Mus musculus: one gene and its partner. The protein of the gene in region 1 interacts with the protein of each later gene in a pairwise test. Links are inferred from orthologs where the notes say so. Each region holds a gene or a part of one and is shown in the gene's direction. Other genes may lie near its edges.

Region 1 (8,358 bases):
GATGCTGAAGCTAAAAAGCCACCTCAGAGGCTTTGTGACAACATGGAGAGGTCATAGGGGAGAACAATAGTTCTGAAGGGAATGGAAGGCCCAGCTGAGAAGACCCTCAGTTCTTCTGCACACAGGCCTCGCCTTCTGGAGCAGCGTGGGAAGGGCACAGTGTGCAGAGGTCACTGGGTCTTGGAGCAGGTCGGATGGATTCTCATCTATGACATTTCTGGAAGTGGCTTCAGACATACAAAAGAAGAGAGCTGGTTAAGCAAGCCACCTTGTTTCAGGACAGACAGGCAGAAACAAGCCACAGCCTCTAGTTCATGGCTGGCCACATGCAAGTTTTCAGGTAGCCTCTGCCATCCATCACCTCCCCCCCCAAAAAAGAAACCCAGCCATATTCTGTGGCCCTTTCCCTGTGTGACTTTCAGGGTTCCAAACCTCTAGAACTATAGGATGGCTTCTCTATCCTATATCCACTGTTGCCCATCATACTGAAGAGACGGGACCTCCTGAATGTCATCTATATGTTGAGTCACTAGAATTCTTCCTCAGTGTCTCCTTGGGGACCAGAGGAAACTGAATTTGATAGCTGTAAAGGAAGCCTGCCACATATAATGGGACCCTTAGCTGGGCTTGCCAGCGGCCACCTTCAGATCAGTGCCTCTTCCTTTATGAAAACGATTTCAGCTGACACAGCTAACTGTAAGAGAACTGTTCTGAATGCAAACTGTGCCGTTCACAAGCATCCTCTACAGACTCAGACCTGTCCTTCTACAGCTTCAGGCTACAGGGTTTCTCCAGGAGAAGGTATCACGTCTTTGGGTCAATCTTAGGACATGTTTTGTAAGGGAATATGTAGCTTGACTGGACTCCTTAGGTTCAGAGCTCAGTTCTCACTGGCCATTTGATCTGTGAAGAGTGCCTGAACTTTCTTTCAGCCTCGTGCTGCCTGTTTAGAAAACAGGAACTAGTTATGTCCACCTTATAGAATCACAAGACTGTCTGGTGAAACTGCTCAGGGGAATGTCATCGCCAATGGTAATGATATTAACATTATCAGCTGATGATAAGGATGGCGGTAGTGACACAGGGGTGACAATGGTTCTGTTAATGGTGGTGGTGATGGCGCTAATTGTTCAGGTCCAGATGGTGTGAAATTCCTTCCTCAAGCAGGAAGCCTGACGCCTGACGCCTGCCTGACGCAGATGTGTGGCCCCTTGACTGTGGAAAACAGCAGGCAGGAGATAAAGCCAGTGCAAATGTCCCCCAGCAGGAGAAAAATTAGGCCACAAATTCAAGGAAGGGCAAAAGAAAGAACTCAGATAAGGAGGTCAAAGAGACCATGCTTGGGGCTGGAGAGATGATTCAGTGGTTAAGAGCACTGGCTGTTCTTCCAAAGGGCCAGGGTTCAGTTCTCAGCACCCACACGGCAGCTCACAATTGTCTGCAATTCCGGTTCCAGAGGATCTGACCCCTCATACAGATATTCATGCAGGAGAAAAACAATGCACACAAAATAGAAATAAATCAATGTACATAAAATAGAAATAAATAGATTATATATACAAACATATACATATATACATGTGTGTATACACACACACACACACACACACACACACACATATATATATATATAAAAGAGACTTGCTCAAGTTCTGCTTGTAATGCCATCTCTAGTAGCTAGATAATATATAAACAGCAGTGGGAAAATAAAATTTGTTCATTCTTAAAGGGAACCCAGAGTCTTGTGTCTCTTTCTACCATTATTCTTCTTTCCTGTACTTCCCAAGACTGTGCTGGACACAGTAGGTAGTGATGGTGGCGGCGTGGTGGTGATAGTAGTGGCAGCAGACTTAGTCTCTTTTGAATAGTGTCTAGGATCCTCTGATTTCCATTGAAACCCAGGACAAAGAAGCACAGACTCTAGACTGACAACCTAGCTTTGAGAGGCCAAGTTCTCTGTAAAGCTGTATGTCTTGTATAAGGTAAGCTGGTTGCAGAAGCAGACATGGACCATATATTCCCTTACCCTGGAGACCTCTCCCATATCCATACTAAGGACTCCCAGGTAGAGACAGGTTCCCCAGAAATGGAGAGTTCTGAATACCACATACTCATGTGCCCCCAATTTTCTATAGAATGTATGAAGTAGATCATCTCTTAGCACACTTGAGAATTTGGTTGTGTGTGTATGTGTTTGTGTGTGTGTGTGCATGCATGCATACATGCTGTGTGTATGGTTTAAGGATTTATATATGTTATGAGTACAAATGTGTGTACAAGTACACATGTGTATGTGTTTGTATCTGTGTGTATGTTTGTGTGTACAGGTACACATGTGTGCATGCTTGTGTGTGTGTGTTTGTGTGTACAGGTACACCTGTGTGCATGTTTATGTATGTGTGTTTGTGTGCACACATACACATGTGTGTGTTTGTATGTACAGGTACATGTGTGTGTGTGTGCATGTAGATACCAGAGGTCAACCTCAGATGTTATTCCTCAGGACTCTTACTTTTTTTAAGACAGGAACTTACTGATTCTCCTAGATGGACTTCCTGCCTGGGCCTTCCCAGGACTAAAATGATAAGCATAGCATACACAACCATTCCTAGTTTCCATGGGTCCTGGGAATCAAACTCAGGTTCTCATGCTTGTGCATCAAGTACATTACTGACCGAGTCCCAGCCCTGATCATTCATTTTCCATATTTCTTGTTTATCTTTGTCTTCTCTACCCATTACCTTCACTAGAAGACAGGCTTCAGGAGGGCAGGAATGTGTCTATTTCACTGCTATATTCAAAATGCCCAAGACAGCACCTCATATACAGTAGGTTCTCAATAAATATTTACTGAGAGATCAAATGCTAAATGGGAAGAATTAATTGATGCCTTTGTTCCCCAGTTCAGGCTCAGTTTCCTGGCTTGTTGCCTGGATCCTTCTCAAACAAACAGAGAAGGGTGAGGTGTGGCCCCAAGTGCCTAATCTGTCTTCTTTCCGACTGGACCCAGGATGGGACTGTGAGCAGGAGAGGGCAGGGCTCAGCCTGGAGTTCTGACCCTGGCTGAAGCCATGGCCTTTAGAGGTCCTGATCCCTACCTCCCTGCATCCCTGCTGAGCCAGCGACTGAAGGCTGGAGAGAAGACACTGGACCTGGAGTTTGAGATCTTGAGTGTGGGATTTAATGAGGAGGGCCGGTACGCCCTGAGGCTGTCAGCTGAAAACCCACTGCAGGCAGGCTCCAGTGCTGGGGTGCAGTTGCAAGTCAATGATGGGGACCCCCTTCCAGCCTGCTCAGCTGTCACTGAGGTCATTGAGCAGCAGGATCCTGGCCAGAGCCTCACCTTCACCAGGAACAAATTTATCTTCACTCTGCCCAAAGGTACAAAGTGAAGTCAAGGGTTGGGGGGGAAGCAGGATCTTTGGGACTTCTGCCCTAGAGCTGATCAGGACCCTGGGGGACTGCAAGGGACCTGGACAGCCAGAGGCAGAGCTCCAGCCTTAATTCTAAGCTCTGCCTGTGTGACTATGTGGCCTTGGGCAAACGCTGGTCCTGTAAGGTTCCTGCTTCCTTCAGCGTGGCATGGATGCTGAAACTGTTCTCATAGAGGGCAAAGGTGAAGAGGAACTAAAGGGGGATGTGAATTTGATAGAGACAAAGCCCACAGCATGTTTAGACCTAGGCAGTGAACGGTACATGGATGAAGTGATGCTAGAAGCCCCCTGAGTTCCTTCTGATTGTAGGGATAGAGACTGGACAGACATGAATGGATAGAAGATCCTGGTCTTACTTTCTGGGAGCTTCCAGACTGGGTACAAAGAGGCAGGAATTTTAAGTCAAAACTAGCTAAGTAATCTAGAAGATCCAGGCTTAGACAGAGGACTTACCAGACAACAGTCCTGGTGTATATCCCAGGCTAAGGTTAGCCAAACTCTTCCCTGGTGTCAGAACCCAGAACAATTCCATGGGCTATAGGCCTCCTCACTCTGGTGGGGTCACATGAGGCATAGGTAAACCAAAGGAGTCTTGAGTGAGGGCTGAGAGGAGTCAGCCACAAGGGAATTCTTAGCCGAGCTCACTTGGATTCAGTTCAAGTTGCCCCAGGGCCCTGGATGTCCTTCTCACCCCTTGGAGAAGGGAGGGAGATCCTAAAGACCACATTTAAAGCCATGTTCTCCACCCAGGGTTCTGTAAGAATGATGGGCAGAGTGATGCACATCTGCGTGTGGAGGCTCTGAGGCTGGATGGATCCTCAGGACAGGAGGCTCAGAGGGTAGGTGAGGCCATCTTCCCCATTTACCCACGACCAGATGAGCCCCGAATGAACCTCACAGCACAGGATCATGAAGACCTGTACCGCTATTGTGGCAACCTGGCTCTTCTCCGAGCCAGCGAGGACCCCACAGCCCGCCACTGTGGGGGCCTGGCTTACAGTGTGGCCTTCCATGTGCACAGGGACCCTAGGTCCTCTGTCTCAGACTGTCAACTGGAACCCAGCCAACCAGAGCTACAGGTAGGTGCTCCTGGGTCCCAGTTCAGGACACAGCCTTTGATGAAACTGGCTGTCTGCAGCCCTACAGTCCCCAACCTCAATCTCCTACGTTCTCAGCAGACTTCGAGGGAGGCCCTGAGTGACAAGATAGAAGAATCTTATATGAGCCCATTCAGCACTGACAGTGACCAGGAGGGGCTCAGCTGGGAAGCAGGACCCTGGCAGCATCCGGCTCAGGTGAGGGGCACCAGCCCTTCTGTGGGAGGGTTCCCTACTACGTTCTCTCTCATTTAGGCATCACATCCAATTGAGAACTCACAGAGCAAGCAGTAGTTCATTGCACAGATGGAGAAAACACACCTCAGGATTCTAGGTTCCACGAAATGTCAACAGTTACTGGAAACCTCAGGACATACATAGTAGCGTGTGGTACCCAATGCCAGGACAGCCACTAAGTATGGAATGTCACTAGAGCCAATACATTTGGATAAAATATTGGTATTACACACAGTCCTTGACACTGTCATGAAGGCTCTGAAAGGGGTCAGGGTGTAAGCCCAGGACAGGCTTTCTCAGAAGATGTGTCATTTTGAAAGGGCTCTTTGCTTCCTTCCTCACTCATTTACGGGCTCCTCCATCCTGTATTTGTCTTTCAGACTAGGTGAGTGAGGTTTACGGGTAGCAATTTGGAGAAGGTTCCATGGGTGAGGTCTAGTATAAGCTAGCAAAGAGAAGAAGGTGGCTCAGTCAGCGGGCAGCAGAGGGACGAGTTGAGATGGAGCTCAGAGCTTGCTCTCTCTCCCTCCCCCCTCTCCCTCTGCCTTCTCTCTCCCTCCACCCCCCTCTCCCTCTCTCTCTAGCTCCTCCCCGCCCACACACTTTTCTTGCCTGGCACTGAGTAGAGGCAGGGAGGGAAACTGAGTTAGGTCATGGAGAGGTTCAATAGGGAAAGAAGTGGGAGGAGCTGAAGCTATCCTGGCACCGAGCAGAGGGAGGTATTCAATTCTGGAGGCAAAAGGTGAGGTGTGGGAGGGGCCTGTAAGGACAGGATTGTATGCAAAGTAAGCAGGCAGCATGTGACAGGGACCCAGAAGCAATGCTCTCATCCAGGCCTCTAACATGGCCCACTCTGACCTTTGTCCATTCATTTCTCAATCAATGAACACACCTTTCTGACCTACTCCTGTGCTCAGCCCCAATCCGTTCTGGAGGCTAAGTGTATGGACGAGATGGACAGTCTAGGTGAGGCTGAAACTCCCTGTGCTCCTAGCCTGGGCCCAGCTCCTCTGTCTAATGCTATCATCTAGGGACAGACACTCTGGAGGAGGTCAAGAACTCAGGAACTGTCCCTGCTCTTTGGGTCTCCCTGGCCTGGCCAGCCTGAGGCACATGGATGTGGATGGTGTACTCAGGCTACAGTGTAAAATGGGTGAAAGGAGGTTGGGAACTGCTGCGGGGAGGAGGGCTGGCGCGATGGCTGCAGTCGACCTCAGCAGCTCTAATTTCTGTTATTTAAAGCTATCATCTCTGCGCCATACTCCCTCTTAAAGTGTCAGATGTCTGCTTCTACCGAGACAAGAAAATAGCTTTCAGGGGAGAGGAAAATCACACCCCTTAGGGGGGATGGGAGGGGTCAGCAATCACAGCCCTGATGGCAGTGCCAGAGCCACAGACAATGGAGGCTTCCCTGTGAACAAGGGAAGGGTGCTTGTAGTTAGACAGACTCAGCCCAGCAGCTCAGGCTAAGGAGAGCAAGCTCCTGTCCCTATAGATACCTGGGGGCGGTGGCAGGACACAAAGGGCTAGTGGGGCTCTATTGCTCTTTGGACCTGTATCCTGGAACTATAGGAGCCCCAGCAGTCATATTGTCTCCCTGCCTTGTGGATAGGGACAGGAAGTCCAGATAAGAGTATTTCATAAGAAAAGGACATTCCCCAGGAGAGAGGGGCTTCCCCTGGCTTTCTGGTTGACAGCTGAAGAGGAGAGAGGAAGGCAGTGAACAGGGGGAATAAAAGGGACAAGAGAGAACTTCATTTTGGGGCTCCAGAGCAACCTCGGCAACATTCAGTTCAAGCCCAAGAACAAATTTCTGGGCTCCAGGAGCAAAAGCTTCAATTCAAAGGCATTTCCTCCAGGAAGCTTTCCCCAGCACAGGGTTCATCCATTCAACCCTGTTCTCAGCCCTGCTGGCACCAGACGGCTCAACAACTGGTTCAGTGTAGGACTTTGGTTTCAAGAGTGCTTTTTGCTTTACATGGTGTGTGACATTTTCTCCCAAGCATAACAGTTAAAGGTCATGGGGTGGGGCAATAGAACAAGAAGATGAAGGGCAGGCAGGCATCTAACTGGGCTACAGGGAAAAGGGCTAAGTATCCATGTCTGCTGACTGAGTCTGAATCCTTTTGCTTCCTAGCCATGGTGCCCTTGGTTCTAAATGGCCACACCAAATGTTGTTGCTCTGAGCTAATATTTTCCAGGGGGTGGGGGCGGTTAGCAGGAACTGTTCCCGAGACTATTTCCAACAGGAGCAGCCAGAGACTGAGGGTGGAGGTCCCTCAGGGGTGCCCTGATTCACCAAGGAGGACCCTAGGAGCACACTGGCAGGAGCTACCCCAAGTTCCCTGCAGCCAACGGCTGTCATCCTCCCCTGGGGCACAGGGGCTTCCTTAGAAGCCTGCCCTTTCCTGATACTACCTGTATTCACTTCCTGGAAGCTTTGAGATCACACAACTAATCCTCTGTCTTTGTCTAAAAGATGGTTCAGTGATCAGAGAGGAAGCAGGTGGTCTGTACAGTGCTGGGAAGAGGGACCTGGGGGAGAAGAGTAGAAAGTGCAGGCAAGCCTGAGCTATGACCAGCTCCCCCCTCCCAAATACCCTACTGTGTCTCCTGGTGAGGTTGGGGAGGGAAAAGAGGACCGGTGTCTTCAGTCCCTGAGCCATTCTGCCCTCAAAGGTCACTAGTTGAGGGACATCTTCCCACAGGCAGAGCTGTTGAAGAGGGAAACTTTGAACTGGAAATCCCCAGGTAAGGAGTTTCTGGAAACATGAATTGAATTCCTTGCTCATAGTTCCGGGGGCCACCTTGGGGATTCCTGCGATTTTGAACCGTAATTTCCTCCCGCAAGACCCTGCGGTCCAGGTTCCTGTGGAAGAGGGAGGAGGGTGTGATGAGATCGACCCCGCAGTACCTCTTCCAAACAATCATGGTTTTGTTTCATGGAAATGATTCTGTTTCCCTGGAGCCTTTTAAAAGACGCTTTTAATTTTTTTTTATTTCTTCCATTTAAAACACCTTTTCATTTATTTATTTATTTTTGCCCCAGAGGAGCAGGAAAAGAAAGAAAGAAAGAAGAAAGCTAACAAAGCAATCACTAAATGAGAAGCACCTGGCTCGAAGCCTGTGGCTTCTAACTGTAGCTCTGGCACTAAGAAGGTGGGGGCTTTTATTAAGAAGTGGAGGAGAACCAAGTGCCGAGGAGAGGGCGGAGTGGCTAGCTCACCTCCACCCTCTGTCCCTACACCTTGGTGGTAACCCTTTGCCTTTCCCTTTGTTCCCTCTCTCTCCCCACCCCCATCCTGCCTGTTTCTTCCTGGTCGCGATTCTGGCTAGAGCGGCAGGTCTGCACTTTCGCCGCCCCGGGAACCCTCCAGCTTCGGCCGGAGCGCTGCCAGTCTTCACTCTCCCTCTCCTGGCTGCTTTTAAATTCATTATGCCTTTTATTGCTCGCTATTGCGTGCTTTATTCCCATTGCCCTGGAGACTAGAGTGGTTCAAGGGGGAGAGGCGCACGATACGGATTTCATTAACTCCACTCTTTACTGCCCATTCACTCTCAGGGGGCTGGCCTGGAAGGGTGGGGAGGGA
Region 2 (6,676 bases), on another chromosome or scaffold:
GCCTGCTTATGTCTCCTTCCGCCGGCCACCCACCCCAGTCCGGGATGCTCAGGCCGTGCGACATTACAGGATCTGGAAGAACAACGAGGGCCGGCTGCACCTGAATGAGGCGGTATCCTTCTCCAATCTGTCTGAGCTTGTGGACTACCATAAGACCCAGAGCCTGTCTCATGGCCTACAGCTGTCCATGCCCTGCTGGAAGGTAGGCCACTGGCTCCTCTGTGACATAGTTGCCCAGGGTCCTACTGGTAGGGTATAATATGGGGGGGAGGGGATGGGGGCACAGGACAGGGCAATCTCCTTGGCTATTGCTCTTATTACACTGGCTCACCAGAGCTCAGATGTGCTCCTGCTGAGGACCAGTCCCTAACATTGATGGATGAAGACAGCAGCAATTTTATGAGGATATCCAGATACTGGATCTATCTCTAAATTTAAAAAAATAGATAATAAATAATAAATAATAAATAGAGCTCCTCATGAGGGGTTGGAGCAAGCCCTTCCTGAAGACAAGCTGGGCGACCCAGCCCCCATTCCTACCCATTCCTATTGCCCTTTCTGTCTCTCCAGCACAAAACTGAGCCCTTGCCCCACTGGGATGACTGGGAGAGGCCGAGGGAGGAGTTCACACTCTGTAAGAAGCTGGGGGCCGGCTACTTTGGGGAGGTCTTTGAAGCGCTCTGGAAAGGCCAGGTCCATGTGGCTGTGAAGGTGATCTCTAGAGGTGAGCAGGCCCAGGACTAACTCAACATGATCACGTGCTGCTTCCCCACTAGTCCTTCTAGTAGGCACTTCCAGTCTTCCCCCACTGAGGGTATCCCAACACACTTGCTGGGCACCCACAGCATCATGGTGGGAGTAACTTCTTTCAATTGTACCTGGTTTTGTTTTGTTTTGTTTTTTGTTTTTGTTTTTAAACAAGTCACTGGAAATGTGAGTTTCATCTCAAATCCCAACGTCACCCTCAGGTTTATACCTGAAACCTCAAGAATCAGGTCAGCCAGGACTTTGAAAACATCTGGCTGGGAAATGCTGACTTTGGCAATTGTGACCAAGTTGGGCACAGGAGGGCAAATGGACACATCAGTCTTGGGGCACTGAGGGCTCGGGGTGGGGAAGGCTTTAGTGTGGTAGCTTGGAGGCCAGCCTTTGTCTTCCTAGGCTGACCACATTGCCTGACTTGCTTCAGGAGGTCTGGGCCAGGATCCTGTTTGGGGCACAGGTCGAGGGCTATACTCACTGAGGTTGATGTCTCTCAGACAATCTCCTGCACCAGCACACCTTCCAGGCTGAGATTCAGGCCATGAAGAAGCTGCGGCACAAGCACATCCTGTCACTGTACGCTGTGGCGACTGCAGGGGACCCGGTCTACATCATCACGGAGCTCATGCCCAAGGGGAACCTGCTGCAGCTACTGCGTGGTACGTGCAAAGCTCCAGTCTCCTTTCCCGGGTGAAAGTGCTGGAGGCAGCATTTGGAGGCACAGACAGCCTGCTCTCTGAGCTTGAGGCCAGCCTGGTCTACAGAGCAAGCTCCAAGACAGCCAGGGCTACACAGAGAAACCCTGTCTCAAACCTTTCTCCTTTCCCTCCCCAAACCCCCCAAAACCAAAGATATAAAACAATCAAGGAAAGACATGCACATGTACACATGTATACATGTGCACACACCCTTAATAATGAGTACATGCATTACATCACACATGCTACATTGCCTCATACATACAAATCGTTAAAAAAAAAAAAAAAAAACCAATGGTGGGAGAGATGGCTCAGTGGGTGAAGTGCTTGCTAGGCAGGCACGAGGACCTGAGTCTGAGTCCCCAGAACTAGTTAGTGTAAAGGCAAGCACAGGAGTGGGCTTCTGTTACCTGAGTCTGAATCCTCAGAACTAGTTAGTGTAAAGGCAAGCACAGGAGCGGGCTTCTGTTACCCCTAGGCTTCTACGGTGAGATGGGAGGCAATGGGAGAATTCTTGTTTTATCTGGCTCAGTAGCAAACCACAAAACCATCCTGGAACACGTCACTGGTGAAGACTAACACCCGATGTTGTCCTCTGACTTCCACATACATACACACACACATCATACATACATACATAACAAAAGAGACAAGTAAATGGTCTTATTAAGTACAAAAAAAATCTACCAATTGCTGATCATAAAATTTGAAAAAGTACAGAAAAGAACTCTCCCTCACAATTTCTATCCTCACAGTTAGCTGAGGTTACTTTACTATAGGCTTGTGTAGCCTGCTAGTGACTTGCCTTAGCCCACCAGCTTCTCTCTAAATTCTAAATTCTCTCTCTTTCTTTGTGTTTCTCATAAAGAGCTTGATCTCATAAGCAGTTTCTGCAGGAAGAAGTCTCCAGAGATGAAACTCATGCCCCTTGTAGGTGTAGTACTTGCTGGCTGCGCATTATCTAGAGTGTTCAATGGCTACATACCAAGAATATCTTGCAGCAATGCTCTTGACCTTAGATTGCTTTATGATTCCCAGAAAGGGTGTCAGACAAAGAATATGCTCTTTGTCTCTAGGTACATAGCTGCAGAAGGTCTAGGCCTTCCCATTTTGCAATTAAGCCAAGCCAGCTGCTCTTTGCTGTAGCCTTCGTAGCCACAGTAAATGAGGACTGGTCTCTGGCCAGCTGACTCTGGCCTTTGATCACCCTACAGACTCTGATGAGAAAGCCCTGCCTATTTTGGAGCTGGTGGACTTTGCATCACAGGTTGCTGAGGGCATGTGCTACCTGGAATCTCAGAATTACATCCACCGTGACCTGGCTGCAAGGAACGTTCTTGTTACAGAGAACAATCTCTGCAAAGTGGGGGACTTTGGGCTTGCCAGGCTTGTCAAGGTAGGTCCCTTGGAGGTAGGAGACAGAAGCAGGAGGTGGGGCTTTATCTCCCAAGCCTTGAGCTGAACCTAGCCATAAGCAAGATGGGTTCCTGATAGGGTGGCGTTAATAGGCAAGCAAGATGGCTTTATCTATACAGCCACAGCCTTGTTCATACCCTACTGATCTAGCTTTGAGAACCTAGACAGACATAGCCATGTACCTAGAGATTTTCCTGTATTCATGCATTGTAACTCTGCTCTTGTCTTTCCCTGACCCAGAATTCTAGTGAATTGGCATATTTACTGGGCCTAGCCATGATTCTGGCAGCATTGGTGGTAGCTACCCATGGTAGCAGTGGGGTGGTGTTAGTGGGTCAGACAGCAATAGGCAATGTGGTTGTCCCTGCTCACCAGGACCTTGGAGTCCATGCTTGTCAGTGCTACACAAGAAGGGTACAAGTGGCAGCTCTCTCTAGTGTCAGGTCCTACCATAAGACATCTTACCACAGGAGGACATCTACCTTTCCCATGAGCACAATGTCCCCTACAAATGGACAGCACCTGAGGCACTTTCCCGAGGGCATTACTCCATCAAGTCTGATGTCTGGTCTTTTGGAGTTCTTCTTCATGAAATTTTCAGCAGGGGGCAGATGCCCTACCCAGGTATTGCCCCAAGAATGTCTCCAGGGGTGGACAAATAGTGAGCTAGAGTCAGGGCAGGTCTTGAATGGGTGACAGAGATGACAGGAGGTGTTTCCCAGGGCCTCAACCAGACCCCACCCCTGTTTCATTCCTCGAGCATCTGGGAGCATGCTTTTGGGATCATTTCTGGGAGACACCATCCACAGGGAAGGGAACATCCATGGACAGTGTGCTACAACATGTCCAGGGCATGATGGTGGTCATTCTAGCAGGGGTCAGCATTCAGGGAGGAGCCAAAGGAAGCTGGGTGTGGCTTCCAGGGATCAGTCTCCTAGCTCTCATTTCTCTTCTCCCATGGGCCACAGGCATGTCCAATCATGAAACCTTCCTGAGGGTGGATGCCGGCTACCGCATGCCCTGCCCTCTGGAGTGCCCACCCAACATACACAAGCTGATGCTCAGCTGCTGGAGCAGAGACCCCAAGCAGAGACCTTGCTTCAAAGACCTGTGTGAGAAACTCACAGGTATCACCAGGTATGAGAACCTGGTCTGAGCTCCTTGGACGTGGCCAGGACCCACAGAAGAGGGCCTCGTGATTATCCTGGACTTCTATTGAAGGCATGAACCATCCTTCAGTTTACTGAGATGAAGGGATAGGAAACATACCAAACATACCTCAAATACTGCGTTTTGTCAAGGAAAGAGTAAAGAGGCTCCTTTCCCTTTTTTGGGGGGGGGGGGTTTCGAGACAGGGTTTCTCTGTATAGCCCTGGCTCTCCTGGAACTCACTTTGTAGAGGAGGCTGGCCTCAAACTCAGAAATCTGCCTGCCTCTGCCTCCCAAGTGCTGGGATCAAAGGCGTGCGCAACCCGGCTTCCTTTCCCTCCTCCAGGAGGCAATACACAAAATCCAGAAAGTCACTCTCTGGCTTCTTCCTCCCTTCTCCTGTGAAGACTTCATGTGACAGAGAAGCCAAGAAGAGTCTAGGCAACAGGCCTTGTGGAGTTCTTTTCATACCACTTTTGGAGCTTGACTGTCCACAAACACATACCCTACCCTTTAGCACCTTAATTCTGCAGGATCTTATGCCACATACAACCCAGAACAAGTTTACATGATTTTCTCTTTATAACCTTGGTTTTGTTGGAGGATCCTCACCTAGAAAGTTGAAGACAGAGATAAATGGATATGAAATTTCTGCTTTGTGGTTTCCGGTGCCCAGTGGGGAGTGAGTGCTTGAGATACCCAATCACCTGGGGTCCGCAGAAGCAGAGGGAAGACGATGGAGTCAGTAAGAGCCAGGAGATTTTCTTGTTTGCTTTTTCCAAGACAGGTTTTCTCTATGTAGCTCTGGCTGTCCAGGAAGTCATTCTGTAGACCGGGATGGCATTAAATTCACAGAGATCCACCTGCCTCTGCTTCCCAAGTGCTGGGATTAAAGGCATGTGCTACTGTTGTTGCCTGGCAGAGCCAGGATTCTTAACCATGTGGGCAGAGGCAGCTCTTCTGCATCTCTGCCCGAGGCTCTGCACTTGTTTCTAAAGTCAAACTCGGTCTGAGCTTGTGAGTCTGGTGTTTACTTTCAGAGCTCCGTGTCCTTTCCCTTCAGAGATGCTTTTGCCCTGGGTTCCTGAGGCAGGATACCCTTATATCCTGTGCCATCCTCTGATTCCCATTTGGACCCGAGTTTTCCAAGATGGCTCTGGTCCAAGGCTGCTCTCCCTCATGTGTCTTCAGTGCTTTTGAACCCATACTTGACCCATAAAGGCTAGACAGGCTATCTGTTCTCCATTTCATCTCCTTATGTACTTGGAGATTAGAACCCCAGTTCTGAGGGGGAGTATCCCAAAAGCACGTACCCGAGGCTACCTGACTGGAAGTGGGCATAATTCTCTGATGACATGTCTACAGCCACGTCCAGATTGCCCTCTCACAACAGGTGAAGATGCCGCAACCTTCCTTACAGAAACATCCTCTCTGTATCCTAGAGATGACACTTTCTGTACTGCTTCCTGTAAAGCAGCTCTCTGGGATGTAACGTCGTCACTAGATAGGGAGAGCACAGGAAAATGTTTGGAAACAGGGCAAATGAAAACCTTTGAATAAAGTCTTTTGCATAGACATTCATCAAAAATTTCCCCTCTCTCAGTAACTGAACCTTTCATTTTCACCAAGAACAGAATTTGGACTGGGCTTGGTGGTGCACATCTTTAATCCTAGCACTTGAGAGACAGAGGTAGGCAGATCTCTGTGAGTTCCAGGCCAGCCTGGTCTATGTAGCAAATTTCAGGGCAGCCAGAGCTACACAGGGAGACCCTGTTTCATAAAAACAAAAATAAATAAAAAAGAACAAAATTTGTATAAAAATCCAAGTGGACATAAACTGAATCAGGACTAAACGTTCTAAAATTAAAGCTATAGGGACCGTGTACATTTGGCTGTTTGTAGAGTCCTTCCCCCAGTTATAGAGGGGACAACCCTGGTACACTTCTTTAATCCCAGCACTTGTGAAGCAGATTCAGGTATATCTGTGTGTTTGGGAGCAGCCTGGTCTACAGAGTTCTAACATGCAAAGAGTGACCCTGTCTCAAAAACAAGGAAACAACAAAATAAAAAAAAAAAAACAAAAAAAAAATCTCTTACAGTTCTGTTTGGACTGGTCTAGAGATGAGTGCTCATTAAATATCCCTAAAATCTCTCAGAAATATAGAAACAAAGTCAAATGTTCTTAAAGATCACATGATCTAGAATAATGTAAAATAAAAAACAGGAATGTTTCCAGACCTGTCCAACATGAACACAGTATAGCTAGACCAGTTGTTCTCACCTTCCTAATTCTGCGACCCTTTAATGCAGTTCCTCATATTGTGGTGACATCTAACCATAAAATTACTTTTGTTGCTACTCCGTAACTGTAATTTTGCTACTGTTATGAATTATGAATATTTTTGGAGATAGAATTCCCTTTTGTCAAAGAGGTTACAACCCAAAGGTTGAGAGCTACTGAGATAGACTTTTTTTTTCTTACCAGGGTTTAAACAAGTTTCATTCTACTGAGTATTTAAAATGCTAAAAGGAGAAATGAAACCCAAGGGTAGAATAGAGGAAGGGACGAAGGGGATGGTCTTGCTTTTGTGGTGTTGGTGACATTTGCCTGACTTGTTAACAAGAGCAATTTTAGTGCTGATACCTTGTAA

Evidence for each region. The genes of interacting proteins can lie anywhere in the genome.
Region 2: the proteins of Ccdc33 (region 1) and Ptk6 interact in a two-hybrid assay, tested with the Homo sapiens proteins (2 studies listed by BioGRID and IntAct). The two-hybrid records come from large-scale screens. The link is inferred for Mus musculus from reciprocal best matches to the Homo sapiens genes CCDC33 and PTK6.

Annotation. Positions count from the first base shown.
Region 1 is NC_000075.6:58,113,458-58,121,815, reverse strand, and holds the start of Ccdc33 (coiled-coil domain-containing protein 33), read left to right. Parts: upstream 1-2,992; 5' UTR 2,993-3,071; coding exon 3,072-3,381; intron 3,382-4,184; coding exon 4,185-4,513; intron 4,514-4,609; coding exon of another isoform or gene 4,610-4,612; coding exon 4,613-4,729; intron 4,730-8,358.
Region 2 is NC_000068.7:181,193,125-181,199,800, reverse strand, and holds the end of Ptk6 (protein-tyrosine kinase 6), read left to right. Parts: intron 1-38; coding exon 39-202; intron 203-570; coding exon 571-724; intron 725-1,259; coding exon 1,260-1,421; intron 1,422-2,674; coding exon 2,675-2,856; intron 2,857-3,346; coding exon 3,347-3,500; intron 3,501-3,844; coding exon 3,845-4,032; 3' UTR 4,033-4,677; downstream 4,678-6,676. UniProt on the Homo sapiens protein: Non-receptor tyrosine-protein kinase implicated in the regulation of a variety of signaling pathways that control the differentiation and maintenance of normal epithelia, as well as tumor growth.